Linked DNA regions of Lepisosteus oculatus. Each later gene encodes a partner of the first gene's protein in a complex. Links are inferred from orthologs where the notes say so. Each region holds a gene or a part of one and is shown in the gene's direction. Other genes may lie near its edges. The genes, in order: fgf23, kl, fgfr3 and fgfr4.

The links.
Region 2: the proteins of fgf23 (region 1) and kl are in contact, whole or in part, in a cryo-EM structure (PDB 7YSH), measured with the Homo sapiens proteins. The link is inferred for Lepisosteus oculatus from reciprocal best matches to the Homo sapiens genes FGF23 and KL. Residues at the interface, in NP_065689.1 of Homo sapiens: Leu39, Met74, Ala80, Val88, Arg91, Leu166, Ile167, Phe169, Asn170, Ile173, Arg175, His177, Asp184, Ser185, Glu186, Arg187, Asp188, Pro189, Leu190, Asn191, Val192, Leu193, Lys194, Pro195, Arg196, Ala197, Arg198, Met199, Thr200, Pro201; in NP_004786.2 of Homo sapiens: Phe377, Lys385, Leu389, Glu390, Pro392, Trp417, Phe418, Ser420, Lys429, Tyr432, Tyr433, Lys436, Phe437, Arg468, Ser471, Ile472, Arg556, Arg693, Asn694, Met695, Thr696, Tyr697, Ile735, Val752, Phe755, Asp756, Asn782, Asn783, Leu785, Ile812.
Region 3: the proteins of fgf23 (region 1) and fgfr3 are in contact, whole or in part, in a cryo-EM structure (PDB 7YSU), measured with the Homo sapiens proteins. The link is inferred for Lepisosteus oculatus from reciprocal best matches to the Homo sapiens genes FGF23 and FGFR3. Residues at the interface, in NP_065689.1 of Homo sapiens: Ser29, Leu32, Gly33, Ser34, Trp36, Tyr43, Ala45, Ala47, Arg48, Asn49, Ser50, His52, Ile75, Arg76, Ser77, Glu78, Asp79, Ala80, Gly81, Val83, Val84, His117, Gln118, Thr119, Asn122, Gly123, Tyr124, Asp125, Leu158, Ser159; in NP_000133.1 of Homo sapiens: Glu157, Arg158, Asp160, Lys161, Leu163, Leu164, Ala165, Val166, Pro167, Arg223, Asp244, Leu246, Glu247, Arg248, Ser249, Pro250, Val277, Tyr278, Ser279, Asp280, Ala281, Gln282, Pro283, His284, Ala312, Gly313, Ala314, Thr316, Thr317, Asp318.
Region 4: the proteins of fgf23 (region 1) and fgfr4 are in contact, whole or in part, in a cryo-EM structure (PDB 7YSW), measured with the Homo sapiens proteins. The link is inferred for Lepisosteus oculatus from reciprocal best matches to the Homo sapiens genes FGF23 and FGFR4. Residues at the interface, in NP_065689.1 of Homo sapiens: Leu32, Gly33, Ser35, Trp36, Gly37, Tyr43, Ala45, Thr46, Ala47, Arg48, Asn49, Ser50, Ile75, Arg76, Ser77, Glu78, Asp79, Ala80, Gly81, Val83, Val84, Tyr93, His117, Gln118, Thr119, Asn122, Gly123, Tyr124, Asp125, Leu158; in NP_001341913.1 of Homo sapiens: Glu156, Lys157, Lys158, Leu159, His160, Ala161, Val162, Pro163, Asn166, Asp240, Leu242, Glu243, Arg244, Ser245, Pro246, Lys272, Val273, Tyr274, Ser275, Asp276, Ala277, Gln278, Pro279, His280, Ala308, Asp309, Ile310, Ser312, Gly336, Asn337.

Annotation. Positions count from the first base shown.
Region 1 is NC_090702.1:6,867,331-6,874,174, reverse strand, and holds the start of fgf23 (fibroblast growth factor 23), read left to right. Parts: upstream 1-3,829; 5' UTR 3,830-3,911; coding exon 3,912-4,149; intron 4,150-4,424; coding exon 4,425-4,528; intron 4,529-4,995; coding exon 4,996-5,490; 3' UTR 5,491-6,844. UniProt on the Homo sapiens protein: Regulator of phosphate homeostasis. Inhibits renal tubular phosphate transport by reducing SLC34A1 levels. Up-regulates EGR1 expression in the presence of KL. Acts directly on the parathyroid to decrease PTH secretion. Regulator of vitamin-D metabolism.
Region 2 is NC_090700.1:14,866,832-14,874,780, forward strand, and holds the start of kl (klotho), read left to right. Parts: upstream 1-4,945; 5' UTR 4,946-5,111; coding exon 5,112-5,834; intron 5,835-6,139; exon of another isoform or gene 6,140-6,242; intron 6,243-6,550; exon of another isoform or gene 6,551-6,762; intron 6,763-7,942; coding exon 7,943-7,949. UniProt on the Homo sapiens protein: May have weak glycosidase activity towards glucuronylated steroids. However, it lacks essential active site Glu residues at positions 239 and 872, suggesting it may be inactive as a glycosidase in vivo.
Region 3 is NC_090696.1:5,985,734-5,993,656, forward strand, and holds the start of fgfr3 (fibroblast growth factor receptor 3), read left to right. Parts: upstream 1-4,913; 5' UTR 4,914-5,516; intron 5,517-7,923.
Region 4 is NC_090706.1:39,850,622-39,858,025, forward strand, and holds the start of fgfr4 (fibroblast growth factor receptor 4), read left to right. Parts: upstream 1-4,392; 5' UTR 4,393-5,217; intron 5,218-7,404. UniProt on the Homo sapiens protein: Tyrosine-protein kinase that acts as a cell-surface receptor for fibroblast growth factors and plays a role in the regulation of cell proliferation, differentiation and migration, and in regulation of lipid metabolism, bile acid biosynthesis, glucose uptake, vitamin D metabolism and phosphate homeostasis.

The DNA of each region.
Region 1 (6,844 bases):
AAATTTCTTGTTCCTGTCTGGCTCTGTAGTCGGACTTCGGTAGCGTATTTGGTCTATAAATCATCATTATTTAAATTATAAACAGGATGATGAGGTAGAAAGCTAAGGTTCTCAAATACATTTATGTACCACACAACAAGGAGAAAGTTACAAAGCTAAATATACAGTAATGTGAAGCGACACTATGCTTTAGGACTATCCTGTATCTAAAATACTGGATTGTTACTACCAGTATTAACAATGTGTGTTATGTACGGTAAAGAGCAATACAGTAAGTTAATTCAATTCTTGTAGTCAGGTATCCCAGAAAAATGCCCCCCAGGTTTTGGACAAATCTGGTAAACGTGTGCGGTTGAAAAAGAACATAATGACAAAACCCATTTTAAGTTTTGACTCTGCATCAGATATACAGTAAAAGCTCAGCTTTTGTTATTTGCAGAGTGAGCTCATCTAGTTTTCCCCGCACTGCTAACTCTCTGTACCCTGTACTGCAGGAGAGCTCTAAAGATGTCCCTGTGACAAATAAGCGCACAAACTTCGCTGTAAGCATTATGCTGTAAATATAGGCAGAATGCAAGAATGGTTGTGCATCAAGCAAAAAGTGCGAGCGTAAACCGTTCAATAAGGTTAACCGATTTATGTTTGGCTTTCATAAACGTTATTAGGTCCTCTGCTTTAATAAAGAGCTGTGGAGCCCTCTTCGTATCTAGATGTATCTTAATTAGATAATTTTCAATTAAAGCCAAATTACTTGAACACAGCAGCCGGGTATTTTTTCCTCTATATGAGAAGATCCAAAACCTGCCGGGAATTTAAAGATATAAAACTTATAGATCGGTCAAGAAAAACAAGAAACGAAGTCAAATTAAGATGCATTTACAAATCGCAAAACTGGAGGCGATCTTGTTTACTCGAAGAAATAAGGGCACACCAAATTTTGTCTGACAAAAAGACCGTTCATTTTAATAGGATTTAGTCAGGTGATGCTATGGTCTTCTCTTTTTTGTTGTCTAAATTCCGTTTAACTTCTGCATACAGCATTGTAGATCTAAATGACCAGTGCGGCACACACTCAATCAGCTACCGTACGGTGACAGTTCCGCAGACACAGCTGTATCATAATAAGTGATAAAAGACTTGAGAATGACGTTCATCTACGAATAGTAAAAGATTTTGCAATCGGATTACCATTTGCTTGGTGATATGTGTCTATAATAAAGGCAAATGTTCAATAAAATATTGTGAAAAAATTAAAAAATAGGAAAATAGATTAGCTTCATATGCGAAAAACCTGCCCTCCCATACACAAGCACATGCCGAAACGACTCTGGCATCCCCGATAGGAAACGCAAAATATTTAAATGCCGCATTTCCAGTTTATATTTTTTCTAGAACAGTTTCACGTTTAAAAAGTCTATTTTTCACACCATTAATACACTACATCGATCCACGCTGGCAAAACTCGTAGTTAAATGTGTTCCTTTTACAGGTGTCTAGGGCACGTTCCCCTGTTCTGAGGACGTTCGCCCAGTGCTGTCACTAACCAAGGGCATGGCTCCCTCTTCGGGCAGAAGCCTGCAATGAGGAAATTGAATTTGCTGGGGGTTTTTTTCTGAGGAGCTCGTAAACACACAACGACCATATGCAGTTCTGACTATAACAGATTTGAAAAAGAGAGCTACGATGAGAATGAGTATAAGAATACGTTTATAAAGCAGTACACATTTTTATTTTGCCCTGTCACTCTTTTTCCCACCTGCTTTGGAGTACTGTCTCTTGAAATATTAAATAAATTAGCGAATTAAAGCCCCCCACCCAAAATACTAGTTTAAATGATGCAATTACAGAATTAAGTCTTCAAATCTGTTAGAAACTCCAAACATACCAACTGACAACCTCGTTGCAAATGCAGGCTCTAATACAATTGGCGGTGATAGTTTGACTCTTGTCTTCTTCGCGTGGAAGATATGAACTGGGTACAGGATCTCTCCTCGCTTTCAATTAGCGATTATCCAATTCACGGTCACGGGATGCGACACTGGCAAGCATTGTGCTCAAGGCCGGTTACACAGTGGACGGGACGCCAGTCCATCGCTGGGCACACACCACACACCAGCATGACCAATCCGAGGACCTGAATGAAACTCAAGCAATTACGAAGGGGACATGCTACTGTAACCCCGCGCAGATAGCAAAGCTTAGAGCAATGTAGCATAGAAATATTGTCTTTTTTGCATAGGCGACTTACTGTATAGCGAAAGACCACACGGAACGGCGTACACAGTGTCCTCAGAGAATGACTATACTGTGCCATGACTATACGTAGAGAATGACTATACTTAGACTGTAAGATGTACCGAGCAGAAGACGGAATCTATTTCGTTTGCCGATAACCGCATGCTCAAGCTAAGAGCATCAAGATATCTGCGCTCTGTGGCGGCTAGGTGAAAGGTATTAAACCCATGGATACAAAATGGACAGTTCATAAATATAAAGGTTTCTTATAAACCCACAACATCACTATTACAACATCTATCTAGGGATTAAGCTAAATTCTGGCAGAACACAACTGCTTGCATTATCAGATCAATAGCAAGGCAAAGCTTTGGTTGTGTATAAGGTGTGTATCGTGCATACAGTATATGGGGTTCTTATTAACTAATGTGCTAATCCATCATTGCTTACTCGGGGTTCTGGTCCATGTTTTGTAAGGTACTGCATAGCTAGTTATGAAAAACCAGAGAAGTAGCACAAAGTTTGAATTACAAATTTGGACTCTTTTGGAAGATGGATTAATTAAATTACCCTTGATTGAATTTGCAGTATATAGCGCCTGTTACAATATATCTCAAAGCCCTTAATCATTAATAGACATATTGTTGGTTTAATTTCGCTGGCGTATTTTACCTAGGAAAATCCGTTATTAAAAACAAAAATAAAGCCTAACATTTAATATCAAAACCGCGATATGAAGACCGAATTAACTAATCGTCTTTCTAATGCTTTTTAAAAGTAGTATCAAAATTCTAGCGGAGGCAAACATAAACTGGCTTTCGAAAGAGTCCTATTTTATTCCTTTCGAAATAGCAAAATTGTCAACATGTCTCTATGATTGTTTATTCTGCTTCAGAAACAGTACCTGAGAAAAATAATGAATACTAAAACGCTGTACAGTAGTTACACTATTAGCCATAATTAAAAAGACTATTCTGAAAATCTTTAATAACTTTAATATTAAAAAAAGACTTTACTTAAGATTGGAACGGAAGGAAATTTGGATGTACGTAAGAAAGGTTTAATTTAAAATCTTAATATAATAATGGTTTCAGTTGATTTCATTATAATTATAAAAATCACCATACAGTATGCAGCAACAGTCTCGCCGAATGGCACATCAAGACATACTGTATGTATTTCACTATAACATTTTGTTCGTTTTTATTCTTAAAAAAACAAACAACAACGTGAATCACTTTCTTTCTACCATCAGCTATCGGTGTATGATCCCATCTTCACGCTTCTGCCCGCTGAACAGGGCCTGGCTCCTCAGGAGAGAGAAGTGACAAACTTTCAATGCAAGTCCGGAGGGCCAGGAAGGTCTGCGTGGGAGACGCCGGTAGCGTGATGTAAAACAGAGATTGCTCAATGAAACCGCTGGGCTATTGGGCAATGAAATCCAGTCGGAACCTTCCTCCCCTTTCCTCCTCTCCGTTGGCCCACTGGGACCTCCACATCTGTGCAGGGGGTTGAGAAGGATGCGGGCAACCAAGGGGGGGCGCCGGCCCGGCTTTAAATAGCAGTCACCAAAACGTGGAAGCACCAGATCGACCTCGGGCTCGGGATAAAGCAAACCAGGCCTTTGCGGCTTCAAAGTAAACCCTTGGGTCCAGACTAACACCGTACAGAATCTGATGTGGAGCGCAGCCTCTCGCCCGAACATGCACTCGTGTTTCCTTGCGCTGTGCCTGGCTGTGTTGCAGGGTTTGAAGATTGTGCATTCATTCCCTAATCCATCCCCGCTCCTCAGCTCCAACTGGGGCAACCCGAAGAGATACGTGCACCTGCAGACGTCTTCAGAAACCAGGAGCTTTTACCTGGAGATCGATGAGGATGGGCAAGTGGGAAAAACAGCCACCCAGAACGCCTTCAGTATGTATAATTTTCTTTCCAGTTTATTAATCCAGTTTATTTCAAAGTTTGATGCAAACCAACACAGTGCGTAGAAAACATCACGGGAACCACAGTTAACTGTTTTTTTAATGATTTTCTTTTCACGTTCGTACAAGGTTTATTTAAAACCTGGACACAAACATCTTTTTCGAATAGCATTACCTTTTCGCTTGAGATCAGGTACTTTTAATGTCATGTTGTGGCCGTGGATCGAAAAAGCAAGCCTATGATTTAATCTTTATTTTTTTTAACAGGTGTGTTGCTACTCAAGGCGGAAACAAGAGACCGTTTGGCGATCTTCGGAGTGAAAAGTAAACGCTTTCTGTGTATGGATGCAGAAGGAAAGACTTTCACCTCGGTAAGTGTAAAAGTCTCATGCTTTTAATATAATTTATTATTATTATTCACCTACCTGTAACAACAAAATTTTCATTTTGAACAGGCTTAATAGCCTGTGCATTAAACATCAAACACGTCAAAGAGTACTCAACTTTATTGATGAGGCAGATCAACCACCATTCCCTCTTAAATACTTACAGGGGTCTAGACAAGCGATGTAGAAACGGATTTGTGAGCTCGTGAGCAAAAGATGGAGAAAAGTAGACAGTAACGCTGAATGCCGTTCCTTTTTTAAGTACAAAATCGACAATAATCGTCCGTTTTTAGAGGCAATTTCCAAGCTAATTTAAAAAAAACAGACTGAAGAGATGTGTGTCATATAATAACTGTATTTACCAAAGGTCCTAAGGTCTTCTGTTCCCTTCGCCGAATGCCGGCAGTCTTCATGGCAATATTAACAGCCCTTTATCGTTTTGTCCATTTTAGACCATCTGCAACAAAGAGGACTGCCTATTTCACCACAAGCTTTTGGAAAATAACCAAGATGTGTACTATTCCTGCAAGAACAATCTGGTGCTCAACCTCGAAGGAGTCAAGCACATTTTTGTCCCTGGACAGAATCTCCCCGCCTATTCCCTGTTTCTGTCTGAAAAGAACACCATCCCACTGGAACACCTGTTGCACAGGGACAAGAGAAATGGCCATGTCGGTCCTTTGGAGTATATCAGCCACTCAGACCACGTCGACCCTTCAGATCCCTTAGCTTTATTCAAGCCCCGCAATATCTATTACGGGGAAACCTCCGACTCGCGGGCCATCAACACCAACCCAGAGCATGGTTTTAACGGAGAAGCTCACGTTGTGTCCCGAGAGAGCCTTGGACCGACGTACAATGAAGAGGTGGACCCAAACGATCCCCTGAGGCTTCTGGAACCCAGAGAAAACTTCAGCCCACGCTACTTCCAGAACATGAGAACATAAGAGAGGGCACAGTCCAAACCACACGTGCTCTTAATTCCTACTTTTGACCCTCCATCCTCACTGAAGTCATCCCCTCGGTTCAACTTTTGTCAGATAACTTGGAGGCCTTAAAATAGTCCAGTCCCATCCCATTCAACTCAGCTCTGCTTTTGCGGGTGAACAAAAGTGTTTCAAGGGGCTAAGTTAGAAAAAGGAATAGTGTCAAATTCTTGTAGGGTTCTTCTACAGCTGGTCTGAAAACCCACTACTGTATGTATGTCAGTAAAATGTTATCCAGAGGTGTCTGTGACATATTGTCTCTGTCTTTCAGACTTACTGATTTACCTGGACAGGCTAAAACCATGCAATTCGGCAGGATAACTTGATGTGCCATGCCTCTGTGCTGTTGAACTTTTATTTAGCACCTAGCTGAGAATGATTCTTAGAGAGTTTATGCTAGCGACAGAAGCCTCAACGTGCCTGATATCCAAGACTGGATCAAGGCCAGATAGAACAGAGAGATGTCTGGGACAGGAATCGGCTTCTCTGCCGTGCCATAAGACACAATGCACAGCACCGCATATGTTATCCCAGGTAGATACAATTTTACAATGCATTACTTTTATCAATACAGAAATGCCTTCTGAAACTGAGATATCTTCAAAAGGGATGTTTTCGCAAAAAAGAGAAAGGGAGAGAGATTAATTTCAACAGGAAATCACCATTTTCATTGTGCGTTGACAACAAAACTGTAGCCCACAACTATCCAATAAGGACAAGCTTCAATTAAGCACACACTTGCTTTCTTCTGCTATTCACTTTGCCTTGGTTAAATTTTAAACAGTAGATGGAATATAACTTAAAACTAAACACAATCATTTTCAGAATAGTGTTAAGAAGTGTTTTAAGAATTTTGCAAAAACTCAGTATGACACTGATTTTTGTTGTTGGAAATCATTTATCGTGATTTACGTTTATTAACTAATTTTTTACAGTAATAGAGTACTTCAATAGTTAGAACCAGCAAAACAGTTAAACACCTTTACCTTAGTGCTATATTAGAATGAAAACGTTTCATATGAGAACTTTTACAGTACTCATTTCTGTTGATAGCATTATTAAAAATATTGTTCTCTGCTTTTAATTATAATGGGCCTCTGAACTTAACTGTTACCTCCATATGTCAGTTTTAGATACTGACATCTTGTACTTGGTAAATCCAATGAACTATGTATGATTTATTCAGACTTAACTAGGAAACAAATATATTTATCGGTGCTGGACACCACCAGCAAATTAAATCAAAACCAAATAATGAAAATGTATTTATTTATATGTATTCACTTTTTCTTATTTATTATATTTATATAGATGC
Region 2 (7,949 bases), on another chromosome or scaffold:
ATAAATGTAGATAAAGTAAAACAACTTAATAAAAAAACAGCTTTTTTTCAACCAGGGAAAAGGAAAAGGCCAATGGTATTACAGTGTTACAATAATGACAGTTAATTTCCTAACAGTACCAAAGATTTGCCTAGGTTTGCTTTTTGGATTTCAACAAAGCTCAGTTTTATGAATCCCTTGAATATTAGAAGGGACATTAGTCTGAGAGAGCACTAAGTAAGTGACCGTTATCCACATGTTTGTAAAATCTGACCTGAAAAAATAAACAAGTCAGCTGAAACGGTAAATTAAAAACGGTATCATTTGTGTTCCCTGTATCCATGCACGTGTGAATTCGATTTGACTTCATATGGAAACGTCAAGCAATCTTTCACACAACATATTCATTCAGATCTTAAAGGGTTAATTTTGTTATAAAACTCCCACAGATTTGATGGTGAAAATGACAGTAAGGTCTTATGATTCATCCTCTTTTTGTGAGTTTGTGTGGGGGTTTATCTAATTGATTTATGGCTTTGACTTTGTTTAGGTGTCCTTGCCTGCTGGGTTTATTTATCTGAAAAGGTTCATTAAATCTTATAAATTGCACCTAGATTAAGACACACTATCCCTTAGCCACTTAGTCTTAGTACATACATTTTCATTACCAACTGAATTACTTCATTACTGTTTTCGTCATGAGGAAAAGCCAACAACAGTTGTATCGTCTTTATTACACCTTCTTTACAGATTACCAATACAAACTAGAGCAAATCCATTAGTAAAACATCAACATTTCAAGTCTTAATCCCTTTATTTTGAAGGATGTTCTTGTGTTATCTTGCTTCATTTCTCATGTTGTAATTTCCTTTTCTGATGACCTGGTCCATCATATATCTTCCATTAATCTGTAAAAAGGGTTTTTAAACTACTTTGTTATAATATTCCAAATATTGCCAGATAAAGAGAATAATTACATTGATTAATGTGTACGGAGCACATGATTTGGAGATAAAATTAAACACTGGGTATTACATTGAAATTAATTAAAGGGACACATTTAATATCCAAAACAAACAAAAATAATATCAGTATCAATATTACCAGCATAATAGTATTTCCTTTGATTAAGCATATTCTAATACAATGGGTGCTGTTTTTTTTTAATAAATGAGTTGAAAATATTCAAGAAGTGAAGCAATGGGTTTTGATATCAGGGTTAAAATTTATGTGGACTAGACATTCTTAATGTTTCCTCCTCCAAATGTTACATTTGTTCTGGAAACAAATATAATTAACCTTTCCTTTTCATTAGAGTACCTTGTACCTGTGGTCGATTTTTTTTTTGTTCCATTTAATTTATTGCTGAGCACTTTTTCTTTTGTGATCAGCACAGAGAAGCACACTTTCTGAAGGGGTCACAGAACAGCTCTTAAGTGTCACAGAATGAGAAAAAATAATCACCTTGACAAGGCCTAAGACAGTTTCATCTGAGATATTTTGTTTTCTGTTTCCACTGTTTTATGAGTGAGGTCACTAGCTCCTTCCATTTAATTCAACAATTAAAATTTCCGTATAAGCAGATTTTTCTGTGAGCTACAGAAAATCTGATTTAAGGTGGTTGCTCCTGAGAGCCTTTTTTGTAAAGAATTCACTTTGTTGTATGTGTATGGGAACCCTACTTCACTGCACTGGATACCTGGTCATAAGACAGGTTATTGTACTCTAGGAAATAATACATTTCTGTGGTTGTGCACTACGTCATCAAACATTCCCGAGAGTTTCTGAAATGACTTTAATATGTACAAGTCTTAAACTGATGTAATTCTTCCTCACATAATGAATCGGCTTGATCCACATCTCGAGCATCAGTGGACTGTGACTGAGGCTGCACAGCTCTGAGCTTGAATCCCATACTCTTTTCTGGAGGAAGAGTTATCTGCCCTTGAGATAAGACTGGAATCTCATTTTTCCATCAACAGTAAGAGAGGAAGAGAAGCGCGCGATAAACAGCAGTAAGACAAGTGTAGATGTGCGGGTTTCCTCTTTTCCTATTTTTCTGCTTCTCAATCTCAAACCTACTTTCATTAGTAAATACAATAGGACATTATTTCATTCTAGGACCACCATTGATACTAACCAGTATGTACATACTGTTTTTTTATCTAGTAGGATATGAGGCAACTGCTTTCCATGTTAAATGTTTGCCATAACTCAGTCACTCCTTCAGGTAACTTAAGTGATGCAGCAGTCATGTCTTCTCACACAATACCTTGCCTTGCTTTGCATAGGGGCTTACAAAAATTATTAACCCCCTACCATAACATAACAGTGTCTTTTTTAGTTGCAGCCACTTACTGAATGGTACATTCATTACAATTTTTAAAAAACTTTTAGCAGCTCTAACCTTGCTATTCAGTTCATCCCTCATGTTTGTCTCAGGTCTGAGTAAATTATACATATTTTTTTAGTTTAGAACATGTCGGCTCATAGGCTTCTCTGTTTTTCTGGTACTGTACAAGGAGATCATTCTCTCTCGTCCCTTTTCTCGCTTCATCAAGACAAGAAAGACAACCAGTTCTTGTGAGTCAGGTTACTTGCTCCTTATTGTTGACAAGACTTCCCTGTGCTCTGTTCTCACATAAAAGCCAGAGCCATCTAACTCACAGTTGACGATGTTGACAGTACAGGCTCTGAAACTAGACCTCTACCCTGTATATCACTTTATAACAAGCTCACTTACACAAAAGCACATATCCTCATTTTAACATTCAAAAGCTTTACAGGCATAAACAAAGTATAAATAACTTTGTTTATGCCTGTAAAGCTTAACAGAACACCACATTTACAGAATAATTAGCTCTCTGGTGCGTGGCGGAGAAACGATTTATTTAGCTTTGTGCAGTTGCTTCTATGATGTTCAGAAAACCTGCCCATGTATGACAGATGGCTAGGTGAAACAGACTGAAAGGCAGCGTACCAAATGTTATAAAATGTTCAAAAAGCTTTTTAATATTTTAAGCGCTGCAATTTGCTTTGCCGTGATGCTTTAACAAAAAAAAAAACTGAACCAGATATCATATTAAAGAAAAAATACCGTTTCAGAATCAGGGTTCTTCTTCATAGGAGTAAGCACAAGGACCCTGATAATTAGCGAATTATGAAACGATGTTTTTTTTAATGCATTTTCATTGCCCAAAATGATGTAAGGTTGTTAGCGAATCGATTAATGCAATTAATACGATCTTCTCTCCTTTTGGACTAAGCCTCTGATATGCATTAGGCTTGTTTGCCTTAAATTTAAAAGGTTCATTTGAAAGCTTCTTCCTGTTTGCAGATAGCTTATCTGTAGATTTATGATTGGTATCCTAGGAGACGTAACAGCCTAGTTTCGGTCTGCCTGATAATAATCCTCAAAGTTTATCGCAACAGATGTCAAGGTCAGGTAATAAATTTCCTTTAAAAATATATTTACTGTATGTACATTTTCAACTTTAGATTGCCGTTATTAGTTGTGTTGCTAGTTAGGATGACTGAAAGAACTGACGAAAAAAGAAATGTGTGGGTGAATGCCCTAGCAATTAAATAGCTTCTCTTCATGGTAAGGTTCTGCTGTTATTTTTCAGTTTCAAACTTTATTTCCCATGGCACATTTCAAGGAACACATCCTTTGTGTATTTCTTTATATTAAATATGGATACAGAAAAAAAGTATGAAGTTTTATTAAAATATACGTATTCCTTTTTAAACAAGGTAGGTCAATTAAGAACACGTTTTCATTAACAGGGACGACATGGAGACACTTATACAGAAGGGTATTTACTGGAGCAGTGGGACCGAGATGCTTGCTCAACGGAACAACAGCAGTTATAAAACACACCGAATAATGTTACTGTGTGTTAAATGGATACGTTAAAGAGCTGCCATATGTATAATTTGTACAAAAAGACGAAAATACAGCTGTTCAGAAATGTACGGTATCTGTGCCAAAGCATTCCTTCTGTTTCAGTCTAACGTCCTTAAAACCTATATGGCAAAAGTACAATTTGATATCTCATTGATCTCATGATATCTCAACCAGGATATCAGTGTTCTTTCTAAAAGTGGTAGTCGGGTATACTGTTTACATCTTAACACATCATCCAGCTCTGAAACGTGTCATATGATTTTAATTTAAAATAATTGAAACCCCTGAACCCATCTCAGAATTAATTTTACTTCACTTATTATTTTTCTATATATAAAAACAGATTAATAACATCTGTACTATGTCGGGATATTTCGCCTTACGTTTGAAAGATTCCTGTTTATTTCCAAGGTCTGTGCACAAATATTGCTTATGGTTGATTTCGTTTTTGTATCTTGCTGTTTGCTGTCTTGACACAAACCACAGTCTATGACACAACACTTGACAAATGGCCTATGTCTTATAAAAGTTGCAACAAAAATGTGAGATTAATATAGATCTTCCTTTTGACGCATTAGTGATGCACTACGAGAACGTCGGAACAAATTTCTTTTTTTAAAAAAGTGAATGTTGCAAAATAATCCATTAGGGAAAGTTCACAATATTAATTTATTTCCTTGAATCAATAAAACTGTTAATAACTGTTAACATTTGCAAGGATAATCACCTTGTTACAATGGTACCCAGGGAAGGGTTCGTCTTTGTATAAACATCACGGGTAGGCATCACAAACGAATCGATTTAGGTTTTATTATGTTTTATAAAGATGTATAAAAAATAACTTCCTAGCTATAGTGTACAGTTGTACAGTTATCATTGGAAGGTTTAAGCTTTTATTGTTTTTACTTCCGCAGGAAAAAAAAAACAAAGAATAATTTTAATTTCAAAGATAATTTTCTTATTTTGGAACACGAATGGGTACCACTGAAAAACGGCTCCGCTGCTAGGGCACTCTTGGGTAATGATTGATAGATTACCCAGGTCTACAAACGAATGGCTCTGCTAGGGTAAACTGCCATTCAAGTACATGACAGTTCGTCCTGCGGCTTGAACGAGTGCGTAAGAAAGCAAGCCACACGCCTGGTCTTACCTAGATGATCACCTCTTCTTTGAATATAAAGAAATAACTGTCTATCTCTTGACAAAATACCGAAGGCCATTAAGTATGAAGTTAAGTTTTTTGCACTGTCTTGTCCTTTCTTTCGAAGTCCTGAGAGTCGCTGGAGGTCCAGGCGCCGGACAAAACACCTGGGAAAGGTTTAACAAACTCCCCTTTCCAGAGGATGAAGCCTTTCTTTATAGCACCTTTCCAGAGGGTTTCATGTGGTCCGTTGGAAGCGCAGCTTATCAGAGCGAGGGGGCTTTTGAAAAAGACGGCAAAGGTCTGTCCGTGTGGGACACTTTCACCCGGGGTGGCAACAGGATAGCTACAGGAGACGTGGGCAGTGACAGTTACCACAACATCCACGGAGACATTCGTGCCCTCCAAAAACTGGGGGTTTCGCACTACAGATTTTCGTTTTCCTGGCCACGTATATTCCCCAATGGGACTCGCAGCAGCTTTAATGAAGCCGGGGTGAGTTACTACAGAAACCTTATTCAAAGACTGAAGGAAATAGGAGTTCAGCCAATTGTTACACTGTACCACTGGGACCTTCCGGAGAGTTTACAACGTACTTACCAAGGATGGATCAATCCGGTTGTAGTGGACTTTTTTAAAGATTTCGCCGATTTTTGCTTCAGAGAATTCGGGGACGATGTTAAATATTGGATCACTATAGACAATCCTTTCGTTGTGGCTTGGCACGGATATGGCACCGGTTTGGTTGCTCCTGGCATCAAAGGTGATCCAGGGCTGCCTTTCAGAGTGGGTCATAACCTCCTGAAGGTAATGCACACATTCAGTATTTCTGATTTTCTTTTTTGAAAGTACTTAGGGGTTATGATGACTGTGGCGTAGTAATAAATTCCTGCTTAAACACTGAATTGAAAATACAAGCGTTTTGTAGATCCAGTTTTATAAAATGCTTAAAGAGAACTGTAGTGGCTTACAGAACGCAACGAGAAATTGTATTACATTATTTAATTATTTCACATTATATATTAATGTATTATTAATGTGTGAGATGCCTTTACTGTATGGCATTATTTAGTTTCTTTTAGTAGTAACCATACATATTGTAAATTACAAACCTCGGGCACTGTACACCTACTTTGCTTTCAAAGACTGCGGCTACACAAGAGATGGTTTTCAAATAGCTCCCAAGCGTGAATCTTGAAAAAGCAGCCGGACAAGCTGAAACAGATGAGGAAATATACTAGGATCACATTGAAAGAGGTTTCTTACTGAATGTAAAACACGATCCAGATAAGGTAAACAATTAGTAAAAGTATCAGTACCAACGGGAGCGTACTGTAAATCGATTCTAGAGGAAGTCGAATTTAAAAATTGAAACAAATTTAAACTTAACAAAATTTGTTAGAAAGTCATGACATTAAGAAATCTGCAAACCTTTTGCTTGCTGAGTCACATGTTAAAAAAACCCTCAAACCCTCAAATCACATAAGATGCAAAGAAAGGTCACCTGTTATAGACATACTTACTGCATATGAAGAGGTGTTATCAATTAGCGAAACGTTATTGTAATTAGGTAAGTACGAAAATTGTAGAACCATGCTGTTGTTGCTTAAATGTAGATTATTTGTTTTTGGAAATTAACCGATAATCAAAAAATGTGCGCCATCTGAGTTACTGGTAGTTTCATTATTGGAAAAATGCCATCCTCCTAACACAAGAGCCTTCCGAATGTTGGCCGCTTTTGTTTAAACTACATCTGTAAATTAGATGTGAATGTGACCCCTCAGTAATAACGACATTTATTATTAGAAGCTGAATGATGGCCGTTTTATGCGATTTATAAAACATTACACTACTTCTCGACATTATTATGTATCATTCATTTCATTTTTAGTTTACATATAGATGCTTCATCTAAACACTGATCGTTCTGCATGCCGGAGTCTTCTCTGCCTGAAGACATGACTCACTCGAATATGCCAGGAACCTTAGCTGTTGATGATGTGAGTGATCAGTGAGGGAAACGAGCCTTTTCCATTCTCTCTCCTGGTGCAAGATGTCTGCTTGAAATCACATTAAATATTCTCTCTATCCAGTCAGTCATATTCGACCTCGTATTAAGGTAGCAACACATCCTGCTGCGTGCCTCAGAATTTGATCAGGTTAGCAGGCAAGATAGACTGAGACCCATCAAACTGCACTTTGTCCCAAAGGCAGCGCTTGATCATTTGAGATTATGATCACAAGGCAAAAGTCTAAAACTGATTTAGGCATAATATGCATGCTCTCAATAAGGCTATATTTCACATCTGTAATAAGCGTAGACAGTATCTTCACCTTGCTTGGACTCATATTATAGAAACAGTAGGCCTTCATTATTACTTTTGTGTATGCCTAAAATATAATGTACAAGTAAGGTTTTTATATTGTGTATACATTTGGGACAGCACGGTGACGCAATGGTTTGCATTGCCTCCTTCTACTGTAGCACTGGGGCCTTGGAATGATTCTGGATCTGGGGTGCTATCAGCTATAGCACCTGTGCTGTGCTCTACCTGTGTTTGTATGGGGTTTCCCCTAGTGCTCACATTTCCTCCCAGTCCAAACACATAGGGGTGGGTTAATTTTGGCCCTATTGCCAGTGTGTTTATTCGAGTGTGTGCCCTACAATGGACTGGCATCCCATCCAGGGTGTACCTTGTCTTGCACCTGTTTGTTTCCAGGGTAGGCTCTGACTGCCCCCTGACCCTGAATTGGATAAAGTGGTTAGAAAATGGATCGATGTATACAATAGATTTTTTTAGTATGTTAAAGACATTATAGCCAGTAAGTACAGTACATGATCAAGTTATTTCGTACTGTTTTAGGGCATGATAGGAATTAGTGTAATTCTTGTGGTGTTTTCTCTTTCATGGCAGGCACATG
Region 3 (7,923 bases), on another chromosome or scaffold:
TGCGATGTCGGTGCGGTATTATTCGCATCTCTCGCTAGCTCCCCGCGTGCACTCACTGTACACCGCGCGGCTGACAGCTTGCAGTTTGCATTAAAACTTCGCAAAAGTCACCGACCCTTACCTCCCTCCCCCGAGCACTCGTCGAGCTAGGGTTAGTGTCGTGAATCTACTGTATGACGTCAATGGCGAAGCGAGCGCTCGGATCAGACAGCTCGGCTCGCTCGCTGGGGCAGTGGTAAGCGGTGAAGCAGTGTCCAAACTGTTACACCGTAGATTAGAGCAGCAGAGAGCAATACATCTCAATAAAGTCCACACGCAGCCGCTGAGGGTCATACATTGCCTGTACAGAGTACAGCCTGTATGGACAAATCTTAAAGGTATTGGCACAAGAAGAAATTACTCACTGGGTAGTACAGAAACGTTTTTAGAGTGCTTTATTGTTTGACGAACTTAAGCATGCTTTCTGTAATATTTTTTTATCATTAATAATTTCTTAATCATTAATATCTCTAAGAAGATAGCGACACATCAACACAAAACGGCTATTTTACTATACTGAAATGACTTTTTTATTACTTATTACTTAACATAGGTTTAACAAATACACCATCTACAATGCAGTGTGTAGAGCTTGTTACTTCTCTAATCTTCTATATAACATACTGTAAATGTTAACAGCAACATTAAATAATTCTGATGGAGGTAGAGATATAAAATTGAACAGAAAACATGTTTGAACGAGCAATTTGAAATTCCTGAGCCTATATTTTCCCTTAAAGCGTCAATTTATTTAATCTACTTACAGTCAACCTATTTTAATGCTGATCAACTTATGTGCACCTCAAGCTTCTTATTCTTTCTGGGTTTTGATTTATTCAGAATCCACTGAAACATGCTGCTTTCTGAGGACCTGTTGTCCAAGAGCAGAAATGTCCACATCTTGATCGTTTATTCTAATTGGTTTCTACAACCCAAGCCAAATAAGAATATGTCTGGAGGTGTTGTTCTTCTGCAGTCTGATGATATTTCATCAATTGTACTGATGTTATTCATCAACCATCAACAAATCTCTTCCAGTAGTCTCTCATTTGGCCAATGCTGTTTCTAAAGCACCTATTTATACAGCTGGGTATTTTACTGAAACACTTTAGGTGATGTGCCTTACTCAAGGGTACAAGAGCAGTGTCTTACCTGGGATTCGAACACTCAGCCTTCAAGTTCATTCACTTCAAGTAAACCTTCAAGTCCACTGAACTGTGCGTTGAATGGAAAATTGCTTCTGGAGTGCCCATCCAAAATAGGTTGACAAAGCCAAACAAAATAATTATAAACTAACACATGTTGTCTCTATAACGTGTAAGGTTATGGCAATGATAATCCCATGCAATTCAAGCTTCATTGTCACCTGGGGGAAATAACAATAATGTTCAAATTGGGGTGATATCATAAATGGAGTACCACTGGGATCTGTTTAGGGACCACTGCACTTCCTGATTTAAACCAATGATCTAGACTCGGGTATCATTCCAATGCTACTCCAGCTTGACAGATGATACCAAATGATCAAAGAATGTCACTCGCTGTGGAAGCTGCAAATTAAAGAGGGACAGCAGTCCCAATTTCTCAGACCGGTGATTAATCTTGGTATCAAAATGAATGAATTTACGGTGTAGCAAAAATGTACACATCCCAAATTAAGCACAAAATTGTGAACTTTGTGAAAGTCCTGTACTCTGCTATGTTTTTGCAAACCCTTGGTCTTGCCACGGGCGAGAGCAAGGGTCTGCGGAAATTGTGCTTTAAAACGACCCTTCCTGCTCACTAGTCACTGTAATGACTGATGTATTGCGATGTACGGGTGAATAAGTACAGGTTGTGCAGAAGATGTTTCACCGCACAAATGTCCAACTGCATGCAGAGCTAACAAGTAAGTTGTATTTGTTGGCAAAACCATCACAAAGCCGAGAGCAACATTTCTGTTGGATCAAAAGAGATGTGTTCACAAGCCTGCTTCTTCACAATCTTATAGGGCCGTTTCATGTTACTGGACGTTTTGTTAAATCATTCGAAATCTCAGTATATGGTGCTGCACATACCTGGAAATGTAGTCGATTTTGTGATGTAAATTGGATGTTTTACACATTACTTTCATTGTGGTTTGAAATGTACTCATCAAAGCTGATTCATTCTAACCCCAAAATATAAAAACAGCGTTGCGGTTCCTCTTTAGATCCAAAGAGCTTTTCAATACAATTCAGGACATATGACATTTAATGTAGACAAGAACATACTGTACAGTAAGTAGCAAAAATAAGAACGACAAACACAAAATGAAACAGTGATCTTACACAGCTCCTTGTGAAGAAGACATAGGAGTTTATGGGAAGTAAATTAAACACAGAGAGAAACAATATGTAGTTTAAAATACTGAAGTGAAATCAAGGGATGTTATGTTCAATTTGCACAGTGCACTGATGAGGCCTAATTTAGAAGACTGTGGAAAATTTGGGTTTAAAAAGGATATTGCAGCCCTAGAACACCCTACACTGCCAGGCTAAAAGACCTAATCTTGAACAGAGAAGACTAGGAGGGGAACTGACTCACGTATTCAAAAAAGTCAATCATATCCTGGCCTTTCTTCAGAATCAGCAGTTAATAAAGTAGGATTTTAGATTAAGATTTGGTCATACACAGACACACAAAGGGAGAGAGGAACAGGTCATTGCAAAAGAAATACTGCAACCATTAAGCAGCGGAAACGGGTGCCACAGTGACGCAGTGGTCAGCTTTGCAGCCTTGCAGTCCCCAAGGGCTGGGTGTTATTCCTGGGTTACTTTCTGTGTGGAGTTTGCATGTTCTCCACAGGTTTGTGTTGGTTTATTTTTGGTGCTGTGGTTCCCTGCCACAGTCCAAAGACATGCTGCTAGGTTAGTTTGATCAGGAACAACTGGCCCCGGTGTGGCTGTGTGTTCCCTGCGACCTCATGAGTTCAGTGCTTCCTGGAATAGGCTCGGGGCCACCGTGACCCTGAACTGGATAAGAGATTATTGGAAGTGCGCTGGAGATGTGAAATAGGCTGAATTATTGTTGTCGACTGTACATCTCAACCAGCCAGCACACGGCGTTCGCGCTGTTTTAGTCTAATGTCGGTTAATTTAATGAAATTCATTTCTGGATGAAGTCTTTCATCCGGAAAAAAAAAAAACTATTCGGCTGTTGTTATGTTGCTACGGAGCTGTGATTCCCAGAATATAAAGGCAGTAAAATAGAAGAACACAATGATGTAGTTTTCTTTGCCTGGTGACGTTGTGTGTTAGCGGTGGTCGTGCAGTGTTATTTACCAAGAGGAGAATAGGGGCTGATTTGTTTGAAAGGGGCCCGGTTGTGTGAATGTGTATTCTCCGAGTTGCGGGAGCAAACACGATCGGCCAGGGTGCTGCGTGTTTGCCGAGTAGAGACCATCTGCCCCGGGTCTCTGGAAGGGAGGGCTCTCGTTTACAAAATATGCTAATAGGGAAAATCACTGGCTTATTTCTTTGTGTTCAGACTCTGCCCCACTGTGGATTAATTCACATTCCCGATTATTACACATTTCATTACGCCTATTAAAAAAGAATTTAAGCTTAAAAGCCTGAAAAGTTGACGTATTGGTTGGCATGCTAAATAGAAAGGAGTGAAAAAAAGACAATAATTTGTGTTTAAATTGGATGAAATGACAGAAGAGCCACAACCACAATTTTTATAAATCCTGAAGACGTGTAACGGGTATTTCAGTTTCAATTATTCATATTCACGACGCATATCAAATACAGGGGACAGTTTTTAGGACATCTGAGATTTAAAACTGTGTTACGGAGCGCTAAAATGCTACACGACTTAAATCCGTCTTCATTGAACTAAATGATACAACCTAAAAAGGTATACTTAATAGGTTTTCCGCGATCAATTAGAGGCAAAACAGAAAAAAATGTTTGGTCAACAGAAGTCTATGATTGGAATCATATTACGTGATCATAAAAATCCAATTGTATTTCATGTTATTTTAAATAAATTACACAAACCGTTGTATGTTCAACAACGTCGTTTTATTTGACTTGTTTTCTGAGTGCCCGGGCTTTTGAGGTTGAATGAAGTAATGGAGTTTCTGTTTTAGTTCATCGTGCAACAACAAAAGAAAAGTTCATCCACAAATTTGATACAATTAATGTTTTAGCTTAGTGTACGCGTTTTTCTTTTGTGTCAAGAAGTAGCTAGTATAAAAACTTTTAGTTGGAGGGTTAGTAAAGAATACTTCATCTGTGTTTTTTTAAACATTAACCATGAATTAACTGTTAGCAAATGTAACAGAATGCTTAGTATAATTTAAGGACGACTCCTGATATGAATATTAATTCATTTAATTGAGTTATAACCGAGTGTTTTCTATGAGGCAGTTGTCAGCTTCAAAGTAAGCCTATTGACCTGGGATATTGATCGCTGGATAAATTTAGACACCTTCAGCCGTTTCTTTTTTTTAACATATTACTGATAGACCACAGAAAAAGGAACGCTTAACGAATTCGCACGTACAGTGTTTTAAATGTCGGGGGTAGAAAAAGCTCACGGTGAATTGCTTGTGGAGAAATGTCACTAGATATATAATTTATTTCAAAATAAACAACCCTAAATATTGCCAGTATAACTCATAACAAGAGACAATGGTCTGTAAACTATTTAAGCTCTGAAGTTCTAAAGAGAGTTAAGGAACGAGGCACACGGGAGCGAGTTAAATTGTCAAAGCCTAAACATTTATTTAAGGGGTGACTGAATGTTGGAAACGGGGACAGTGGGAGGAACCGCTGCCGTAGCCTCCGCCCCGTTTCTCCCCGAATTTTATCGCGCCTGCTGCCTTTAACTCTCAAGGGGGCTGGGACAAGCACAGCACTCGCAGAGGGTCTAGAGGCTGAAATCTGATCCTTGCTAATTTTTTTTTTTTCTGGTGCCTTCAGCCCCGGGCTGCCAGTGCAGGTCTGCGAGCCAAGCTTTCACACACACTCGTGTCCGCGCCAGTAACAGCGCTCACACTTTTTCAAGCGGAGCAAAGCAGGCGGGCAATGAACAGCCTCCTGTCCGGAGCGCTCTGCCGGTGGAAGCTATCTCCCGTCTCACAGTCGGCGCACGGCTCAGCGGCGCCCCAGACACTAGCCATTCGTTTACAGGAGAAAGAGAAAACGTGGGCATAGAGACAGCGGCGAACGAACTACGTGGTTTTAAGGGATTGTTGAATTTGGAACCTTCTTTGCCACCGCCAGAAGAAGAAACTCTTTCTGGATATTGTGTGTGTGTTTTTTTTTCCCGCTGCTTGTGATTCTCCAGTGGGGGTTTGTGCGAAAGGATTTTTACAGCTACTATTACTATTACTGTATAAGAGCACGTTTGTGACTGACACCGATTTCTTGGTCAGAGTCAGTACAGTTTGACAAGAATTGTGACCATTGGAAACTCATCCAGCGAAGACTTCTGTCAGTCTCCTGCGGGTTAGTAGTACTTTCATTATTATTAAGAATCGTTTTATCTTACCCATACAGACTAGGAATGCCGTGTCGTTTAGGTTGAGACAATTAAAATAATTGCATATTTTCCACTGTAATTTCTCGATTTTCTCACGATTCTTCCGTGTTTCTACTATTCCTCAATTTGAGCTGCTGTTTCTCGTCCAGTCGCACGGTTTGGTATTGTACAGTAAAATGAACGAAACGGGAGGCCACTTTCAGTTGTTAGTCACTTAAAAGGATTGTGTTTTGCTGTACACGGTAGCCGGTTTCTATAGCCGATGTTTGGCACAGATCTCGGTAAACTTTGGCATCTGTCGAAAGGGTCATTACTCGAGATTTTGCGTTTACTACCTTCAGGACAGTAGAAACCTAGTATGAGTTAAATTCATACTGAAGTCTTTTCATGGTATAATTGCGGACCTTTGAAAATGTTCTCCCATTCCAATAAAAGCCCAGACGGTATTTTTATGTGTTCTGTCAGTTAAAGACGCGAACGAGGCACAGAGTAAACTGAGGTCTGTCCTATTGACACTGCCACCACAACTCGGTAGCTACTGGTTCATTGCTCTTGAAATCACAGGAAGAACACAGGTTGTAGCCTCGGGTTTTTATTGATTTTACTGTCTTTGGGTTTGTGTGGTTCATGAACGCAGTGTTTAAACGCAGTCTGCCTTTGCAGGATGACATGGAAAACTGTCGCAGCTCCCAAAGACCGACTGAAAACGACCTATCTCTTCCTTTGCATTCAAATGTAACACTTTAGCAAACTTGTATTACTTCATTGTATTGGTCCCTATGGAAAATGTGCTTTTCAGGCAGGTGAAAGACACACCACGATACGCACTACATTCAACACAACACGAGCCCAGTAGCAATTGCGAGACATGTTTCTATATTCTCACCAACACGCGTGGAAGGTGAGCAGGTCTGGCGATGTTCATTTCGAGTGCTCTCGCTGGGACCCTAGTGTGCGCGCCCTTTCTGCTCGGTCTTGTTTTTATTCCGTGTAGCATAAAAAGCCAAGCTTTATGCAAAACGGCAGGTCTTGGCCGCGCTACAGTAAACTCGGGCAGGGGAAGGGTCAGTACTTACAAGTGGGCGCACAGCTTGTCCTCTTCAACACGCATTACACAGGTCTACTAGGAGTAGAGACCCGACGGGGTTTTTTTTTTTCTGAGCGGATTTCAGAACATATATTTTCACCGCATAAAGGATGTTGGTGAGATGAAGTTATGAAGCCAGGTATTTTAAGAATGCGTATCTCCTAACGTCAGCCATTAAAACAGCAAACCAGCGTTCTCACGGTAGAAAAGAAGAAATAAATGAGAGAAGCAGGCGGCAAGAAATTCTAGGTGGACGCCGCAGGGCCCGAGAGAAGATTTGTAAGGAGTGTCACGAAACAATAGCGCAACTAGAGCGTTGGTTTCGTTCAGTCTTAGAAGTCTGAAGCGCATGAAAGCCTGTGTGTGATACTTTTTGTTTCAAGGCGCAATGATATATTTCTCTCTCTATAGCCTGTATTGTATTTTTCCCTGTGCGCACATATAAGCATATGAATTTAATATACCCGTATTTGAAACGTCGTTATAAAACGTAGTAAAACAGAACACTAATAAAATACATTTTTCTCACACAGCTTTAACAGACTACTCACCTCGTTTTGCAAGTAAACTAAGGTGTCATGACAGATTAGTCATTAAAATTCAAGTTAGTTTGTAATTAAACCTCAGGTATTTACTTCACTAAACGACACTTCTTGCACAACATCCCAGAATTAAGCCTATTTTGAGGATACATTAGACCACAAGTCCTTCTACACGTGTAACGAATTCATGCTCCGCGTTTTGGTCTTTTGAGTGTGGCGTATTTGGCTTTGGGACTGACAAGGTTATTCTAATGCGTGGAGTGGCAGTACCTCTAAAGTCATAGGCGAGCAATTGGTTTCTTCATAGGCAAGTTTACTCTACCATTGAAGGACGTTGGGGGTAGTAGTCAAGGGAAACGCGTTAGCGATAATATATGTACTATATATATATATCAGATCGGCACAAGTCAGATTGAAAAAATGCGGACTGAGAAGACGTCTTCATCAAAAACGCGCTAAGAATCCATTGCCTTTAACATCACAGCAGACGAACTTGGCTTGTAATTTATCATGTAGACTTCGGGAAACCAGATACAGGCAATAGCCTAAGTACTAAGGGTGGTGAGGCGCTGGGCAAGTATTTGGCAAAGAGAAAACGTAAGATAAACAGAACCTAACACTGAAACTGATGTAGGTCGTCTTCTGAAGCTGCCTGCTGTTCTCCCACCCCAATTACAGATGAAGATGGGTTGAAGCATTAGTATGCTCTTACAGATTTGCTCTGCCCACATGATTTTTGCATTT
Region 4 (7,404 bases), on another chromosome or scaffold:
TGTGGAGTGTGTAGAATCCGAAGAGCAGGGAGGAGGGGATTGTTGTGGCTCTGATTGTGTGATTTAATACCAACTGCGTGAACCGAGCCAAGGGGATTTTGTTTTTGGGGATTGTGTGTGTGTGTTTGGCGGGGGGCGGGTAAAACCTAAATGTCCTCCGCCAAGGGACCCGAGAGTCCTGGCCGAACTCTGGTCAGACTCGGAGCTGCACTCCCGCCGGGAGGAGGACAAGGCGAAGATGAGGACGATGATGAGGAGGAGGATGGATGTTCCAACATTCGCTTTTTCAGGTCTCTTCAGAAGACTCTCTAGTAACGGGGATGCTGTGCGGATGTGGGCGTGAGTGAAATGAGTTTGCCGGTGTGTGCTCAGCTGGGAAGGATTTAGCCTGCAGAAAGGAGGCTCAGGGAGGAATACCTGGATTATCCAGAGGGATTTACTGCTCCAATTCAGAGCAGCACTAATCAATTTCAGGCAATCGGCACCATGCACCCCCCCCCAGCCCACACGAGCCAGCACAGCCTTCCCAGTACGGCTCCTTCTACATAGTGGTTTGCCCAACACCCCTCATGTGAAACACATCTCTGTCTTAAGGAAAATCCAAGCACTTTCATCATTCTGATGTAGTAAATCTGCTTTAGAATCTGACACAATTACTCAAACCAAGATTAAAAAGGAAGCTCCTATCACTGTAAAACCCTCTACAAGAACAAAACCAATTACTCTGCAGCTTGCCGTGTAAAATCACACTACCAAACGGATATCCAACTTGTCGTGAAAAGAACGCGGAGCGCATTTGCTCTCAATGTTGCGGCGACTGTAGTAACGCTTTCATGCGCACTGCTCAGTTATATGTGGTGATCATATTCCTTCCACGGAAAAATGTTGCCTTACACCACTTTCAAGTCTTAAGACAGATCTCCAAGCTTATAAAAAGTATTCCAAATAAAATATCCATTGTATTCGACTACAGTTTTGCAATGTAACGGAAGTCTCAGGAAATTTAAGGGTGGTGTTTATAACTGATGTTTGGCTTCATCTGTGGTATTTCATATGGGTTTGGCAGTACATTGCATTCTACTCTTTGAAATGTAAGAAATAAGGTTATCTTTTCAACACTTTCTCTGCTGTAAAAACATAGGACATATCAATCAAGCAGTTGCGAAAGTCATTCTCTGCCTTTCCCAAAATCCTCAACTTTTAACTTGTGCATCAAAAGTAGAAGCGGATATGTTATTGCAATGATACCAGTTTGCTTTTTAATCTTGGTTTGGGTAACCGTGTCAGATTCTCAACAAGGGCACGTTCAGAATCTGATAAAAATGCGTCCCGGGCACGATGCGATTGTATTTTAGAGGCTGATACGGTACAGAGAGGAATCTGCATATCCTTTTCAGAGCGTGGTTCAAAGCAAGTAGGTACAGCGCAAGCTGGAGAGAGAATGTGGTTACTGGCAGTCAGCCACACCATGACACCATTGTTTCTGATGAGTGAAAGATATTCCCCTCTCATGCAGAAAATTATTGGCAAAGGCCTCAGACCTGCTCACCACATCTAGCTTGCGGAAACTCTGGTGGGTGCTGCTGGTTAGAGGCTTGTATCACTGTTACCTCTGAGAGGCAGTGTGGGCTTCTAGCCCTACACCACCTCGGCTTCGGAAACAAACCCAGTCTCAAGCTAGATCGCCCCCCCCTCCCCGAGGCTCGGGAAAGGTAGGACCTCATTCTCACTTCACACCAGTTCAATTATAACCCTGCCTCCACTGATCTAATTAAAGAAATCCTCGCCGTTTTCCTTCATTGGTGCGATTTTGAGAGCTGTTTGGGCAGTGCTTTTATGCTTTTGCTGTGTTTCTCGCATGAAGTCACTCTAGCTCTGCTGAGAATTGCTCGGGTTCTGTCTTCACTGCAGTCTACGACTCTGGACCAGGGGAATGGTGAGATGTTCTGAGCCAACAATGACCATGAATAATGTTTACTACAGTAGCCTACAGCTCCTAAGGCCTCGCCAGCAAAGCGAAGGCCTACTATAAATTCAAGACATCCACCGCAACCACAGCACAACTAAGATAATGTCATGGCAAAAGAATGAAAATACTATAATAAATCTACCGAGTTGATTTATTACGGATTGTCTTTGGCATACTGCTGTTAGATAAAATCGTTCATATCCAGCTAAGATCGTTTGAAGAAACTTGCCAAGGAGAAACTCTGAAACTCATATTTTTATGTCTGCTTCCAGTTTCACTAGGTCCTTCTAGGTTCTAATCAGCACGCGAAACCAATCTCGAGACCCGGGAACAACGCTGAAAATAACACATGAGTATGAAAACAAGGACAGCTTGGCTTTCTCGTTCAAATCAGCCAACAATAACAAAATCTAACGATTAACAATAACCATTTTCCGAACAGATTCCACTTACCAACCCCACATCAAAGTGTTTTTGGAGTGATTCATGTCAACGCAAAGGATGTGCCAGCGCTGTTTCAATACCAGTCAGTTGGTTTCCCATAATGTATGCTTCTCTGCTTTTCTGTGTGCTGCTGGCTTCTTCATATTACCGACTTCGGGCAGAGCAAACTTTCAGGACAGGATGGGCTTTTGTGGTAGAAATCAAATCACTTCTTCACTCACTCAGATGTTTAAAAGATTTGATTTCCTATCATTACTCGTGAACTAGATTTACCAGGCAGTCAAGCAGGACAGCAAGAGAGTCGTTGTGAGTTTGTGTGTGAATGTCTGACAGGATCAAACAGCCGTGTGTATTTGCTCAAGGTAAAGGTTGTGTATTCATTGGTCTGTTAATCTAAAAACAAAGTGACTGAGGGAGAGGTGACAGTCAAAAATAAAGAGTAAAAATGCACAGGTCTTAGGCTTAGTCATAGGCTAACCCTGGAGACCCTGAGAATTTCTGACTTTTATTTTGTATTTCATTTCACTGTCAGTCACATCTTGCTACAAGTGCTGTGTATCACATAGGACAGTTTCTAGTGCATTTTTGGAGAAAGCAAAAAGTGGATGAGTCCTGCTGTACGTAAAGTAGTCTTTCAGTATAGTACATACAACAGGACCTCTCCCTGAATCTGACTTAGAAACAGTTTAATTCCCAAGACAACATGCAGTATACTGCACTTCCTAAGAGAGCCTGGAACAATTGCAAGGTTACTGATGTTGTGTACTGACCCACTGGTTGGAAACCTAATCTATTTTCTAGGGTTTTTGTAATAGGAGTGACTTCTACAAGAATGGCAATATAGTGTAGGATTCAGATTTAAAAAATAAACCTATAGTGTTTTTGTTTCAAATGAAATACAAAATTGAAATCCATCAGATACAGCGATAAAGATACGACATAAATTAAACACCACCCATCTAGAGATTGATTTTCTAAAAGAATGGATTGCTCGGAAATGAGCACGAAAGAGATTATCCGTGTAGAATAACATTTTCGACGGTCAATAATGTCGTCAGTGCGGCACTTTGTACTGCTGTATGTTACTTACAAATTCAACTTAAAAGTTAAACAGTGACGAAATGCAGAAAACGACGAGCTCTGTGTGTGGAATACCGGTAACGGCCTGTAGGCGTGATGCATACACGAACCTTCAGATTCAGCACTTCATCGCTTAATAAGTCTGAAGTTACCAATAAAAGAAGCTTCCGATCGGTTTGACGGACTTCGCTTTGACCTACTCCGGGTTCTGCAAAAATCTGCTAATGGGGATTTTTTTTTTGGTAAAATCATTCTCCACAATAACGGAGAAATTGACCGACAATATAACGTTTTAAAATAAAAACTACACACACTGCATAAAATGCAGGGATGTCCACAATAGTGAAGTTTAGGAGTAGGACAATTGCCTATGATGGGTGCTATTAGTGTCAAGCATGCTTTAGTGAATTGTATACAGTGTACATACAACACATGAACTGCTTGTACAGGTATGATAAAAAGGCACAGAACTATTTTAAGACTACAAACACACACTTAAATCTTTGGGGGGAACGAATATTAACCATTGTGGTCTCGGATTCTACCGTCATTTTATAGAATATCCGACGCAACGCTGTTTCTCTCCGTTTCAGTAAGAAAATAAATGCATTATTGCCAACATTTGTTTTTCTAAATTGCAAGCAGAAAAGGCCCGGGCTGTTGGTCCGTTCGGCCTTCATTTCCAAAGTTACCGTCGCTCAGAAGCAGCAACTATTGTATTCTGGCTTTCATTAAGAAAAAAAAAAGGGTAATACATTTCTCAACTACATTCCGAAGAAGCGCTTTAAAAACGGACGAGTGAATGAGAGTCGTTGTGCACACAGCACATCTTAGGTTTGGATTTGGCGCTTGGATGCTGCGAGGGGGGTCTGTGAGGGAATTATTTCGGGGGGAGGGTAAGAGAGTCATTCCCCCCTCCTCTTTCTCATTCTCCTTTAAGTCTATTGTTGCGAGTCTTGTGCTTACACTGCCCGGAGCTACTATCAGTACTAAAATGCTCGGAGCGGCTTTGCGCTGTAACCGGAGAGTCGCTAATTGAGAACCCTGGACCTTCTGGCTTCCTCCCGGACGAGCCATTAGTGAAGAGATACCGAGCAGAGCGGTGCACAGACTCCGCATCTGCTGCGTCGCTGCAGTCGATGTCGTTTTTTTAAATTATTTACGTCCCAAGTCCTGCAGCAGGGGTGAAAAACAGAAAGCCTACACGATCAACACCTTTCAGCGGAGCCGCGGAAGACAAGCGAGAATCCCGGAGAAGGGCAGGAGGAAATGTTGTTCGGGGATTTGTTGTTTGTAATGGATTTTGCTATGTTTTTTTGCTGGGGCTTTTGACTCCTGAATTTGCGTGTTTTGTAAGCTGTTGTGTTTTTTTTTTTTTGCTTCAACCTACAAGGAATCGGTTGTTTTTTTTATTATTTCGGTCTGGAGAAAACACAGCCAGGACGCTGGACTTGTTTCGGACTTTGCACTCAGTACCAGGGTGTCAGTGCCTCCGGGGACTCGCAATTTCAGAAGCTAAACCGTAGTGTTTGGGGATAAATCCGTGCAGCTCTTTTCTCCCGGAGGAGGAACACTTGAGTACCCGAAGCTCGGGTGAGGCCGCAGAACTCGGGACCCAAGTCCTAAATGGGGATCCATCTCCCCGATGTCTTGGAATTGTGATTTATCGAATTATTGACTCATCGGTTCGCGGATACGCCAACAACCCAAGATACCGAGGCAAGGTAATTACAAATCTTAAACCATTCCCACCTTTCCGTGAAACATGAGCTCTGAAACAAAATTAGGACTTTATTTCGTGATGAGGGATGTTTATTACAGGGCTTTGAGCGAGGTGCCTCTTCGCTGTGTTTTTAATTCTCGTTTTTGAGAATGACGACTGTGTGTGCGCTCGCAAGTAAGCGTCTCCCCGACCAGTTACGCAGCCCGTGGGGGCTCTAGTTGTGTTGCAGAAGGGCTGGTGTTTAATTATAGGTTTCCTCGGCAGTTTGGAGCGAAGTCTCAAGTGCTCCGGCTAATTTTGGAGTTTCAACCAAATTCCACAGACCGGTGACACCGCAGCTGCAGTCTCTCTAGACTCCGGTGCTTACCGACCTCTCTGGACATCTCTGCCTCTCTGTCTCGTCAGATGTTTCTAAAAACAGAAGTGAGGTGGGAAAAAAAGTCGTTTTCCCTAGACGGGTGCGTGTCCCGTAGTTGGATGAATCAATCACTCGAGCTGTATGAAACAAACGTTGCGCGCGTCCTTTCTATGTCCAAGAGCAATACGCTGTAAAAATGAAAACGAATACCTGAGTTGATTTGAAAAAAATAAATTAATAGGACGAGTTAAATTGAAATGAACACCCAACAAGGTAGTCGGTATGAGGCCAGTTCTAAACTCGCCAGCCGGCGTGACTTAAAAAGGCAGTGGACTCGGTATCCAGTGTTTGCGCAGTAGTTAAAATTTAACCAAAGATACAAGTTGGAAAGGAACAGAGCTAAAAGGACCCCTGCCTTTGATTTACGGTGGATGCAGAGTCACCGAGGGGGGGGGCTGCTAAATTTAGCCTGGGCTAGTAGTACAAAACTGTGTGTTACCTTGACCATCGAGTCACGTACTGTAGAGCTGGGCTCCGGTCGCTTGCGTTTTTCTCTCTTGTAGCTCCGAGACACGTGAAGTGTGGACTCACCATTTTTTTTACCATTGGTTTACTTCAGCTGCCTTGGCACGCCTAAAAATTATTTTTTTAAAAAAAGAATAAACCTTTGTTGAGTTTCCGGTATTTTTTATTACTGCGAGCTAGGTCTCGGTTAGCGTACGTGCGAATGTGAGCGTAACGCGATGGGTTGAAGTGTTGAAATACAATATCCCGATATCAGGGCCATAGACGATGAGACATCCTGAAAGGCATTGAATGAAATGATGCGAAAGTGACACGAATTCTGATTCTAAGCCATTGTTTTTTCCCCAAAAAAAGTCGCATAATTTTATCGAAACACGCGATGGCCAAGTAGCTGGAACAAGTCACACCGGACGCTTCTGCGCTAATCGCCGGGGTCTGCCCTCGCACTTTTAACGCTGTTTACTTGGTACTCCTTGGATTAAAAAAAAAAGAAAGAATCCCATCCCCATCTTTCCAAGCCCGTGTCGCCGTGGCAACGGCTCTCGGGCTCCCCTCCGAGCCCTCGGCTGGTGCCAGGGAGCGACAGTCAACTGCACTTTCTGCGCGCTGTGATGGGAGGGCGGGGCGGGACAGACGTGAGACAGATGGCAGTTGCGACAAGTGAACCGAGCCTGGTTGTGTTCCCTTGATAAGATCGGAAAGGCGCTGGCCGTGGCCTTCTCCCGGCTGTCCCGAAGGGTCTGTCCGCTGTGAACTGTACAAAGCACTCTTGAGGCGAAAGTGTTCTTCGGCGGTGTTGAAGGGCATTTTTTTCCCATGCAACACCCGACACGACTTGCAGTTAGCAAAATGCGAGAGAAAGCATAGATATCGGAATAAATGAGCGTTAATCTGTGTTTTTTCCCCCCTGTGATTCGTGATTTTAGAGGTGTGTGGTTACATTATTTATATAGTATATAAGTCCTAAGTGCACAGTAACGAGAATATGCTGCCAAAGATGATCGGCCGTACGCCACAATGCACGGACTGTCTCTCACAGTGTTTTCTTTCATTAAACATCAACAGTGTGCAGTCTGTTTGGTGCTGGGGTGTGTTTTAGGTGAGAAACTTAGTTTAGAAACTTACAGTTTCTCTGGAGAAATGGCCATTAGGAGCAGCTCTTTCCTGGAGCATGTTTGGAGTGAATTTCTTACACAGGAAAATACTCCAGAAAAGACTTGTTTTCTCCATAGTGGCTGATCATAAGTGAAACTAAATGTCGCAGAACGTCAGTCAGCTGTCCTGTCTCTGGCTGCCTGCATATAA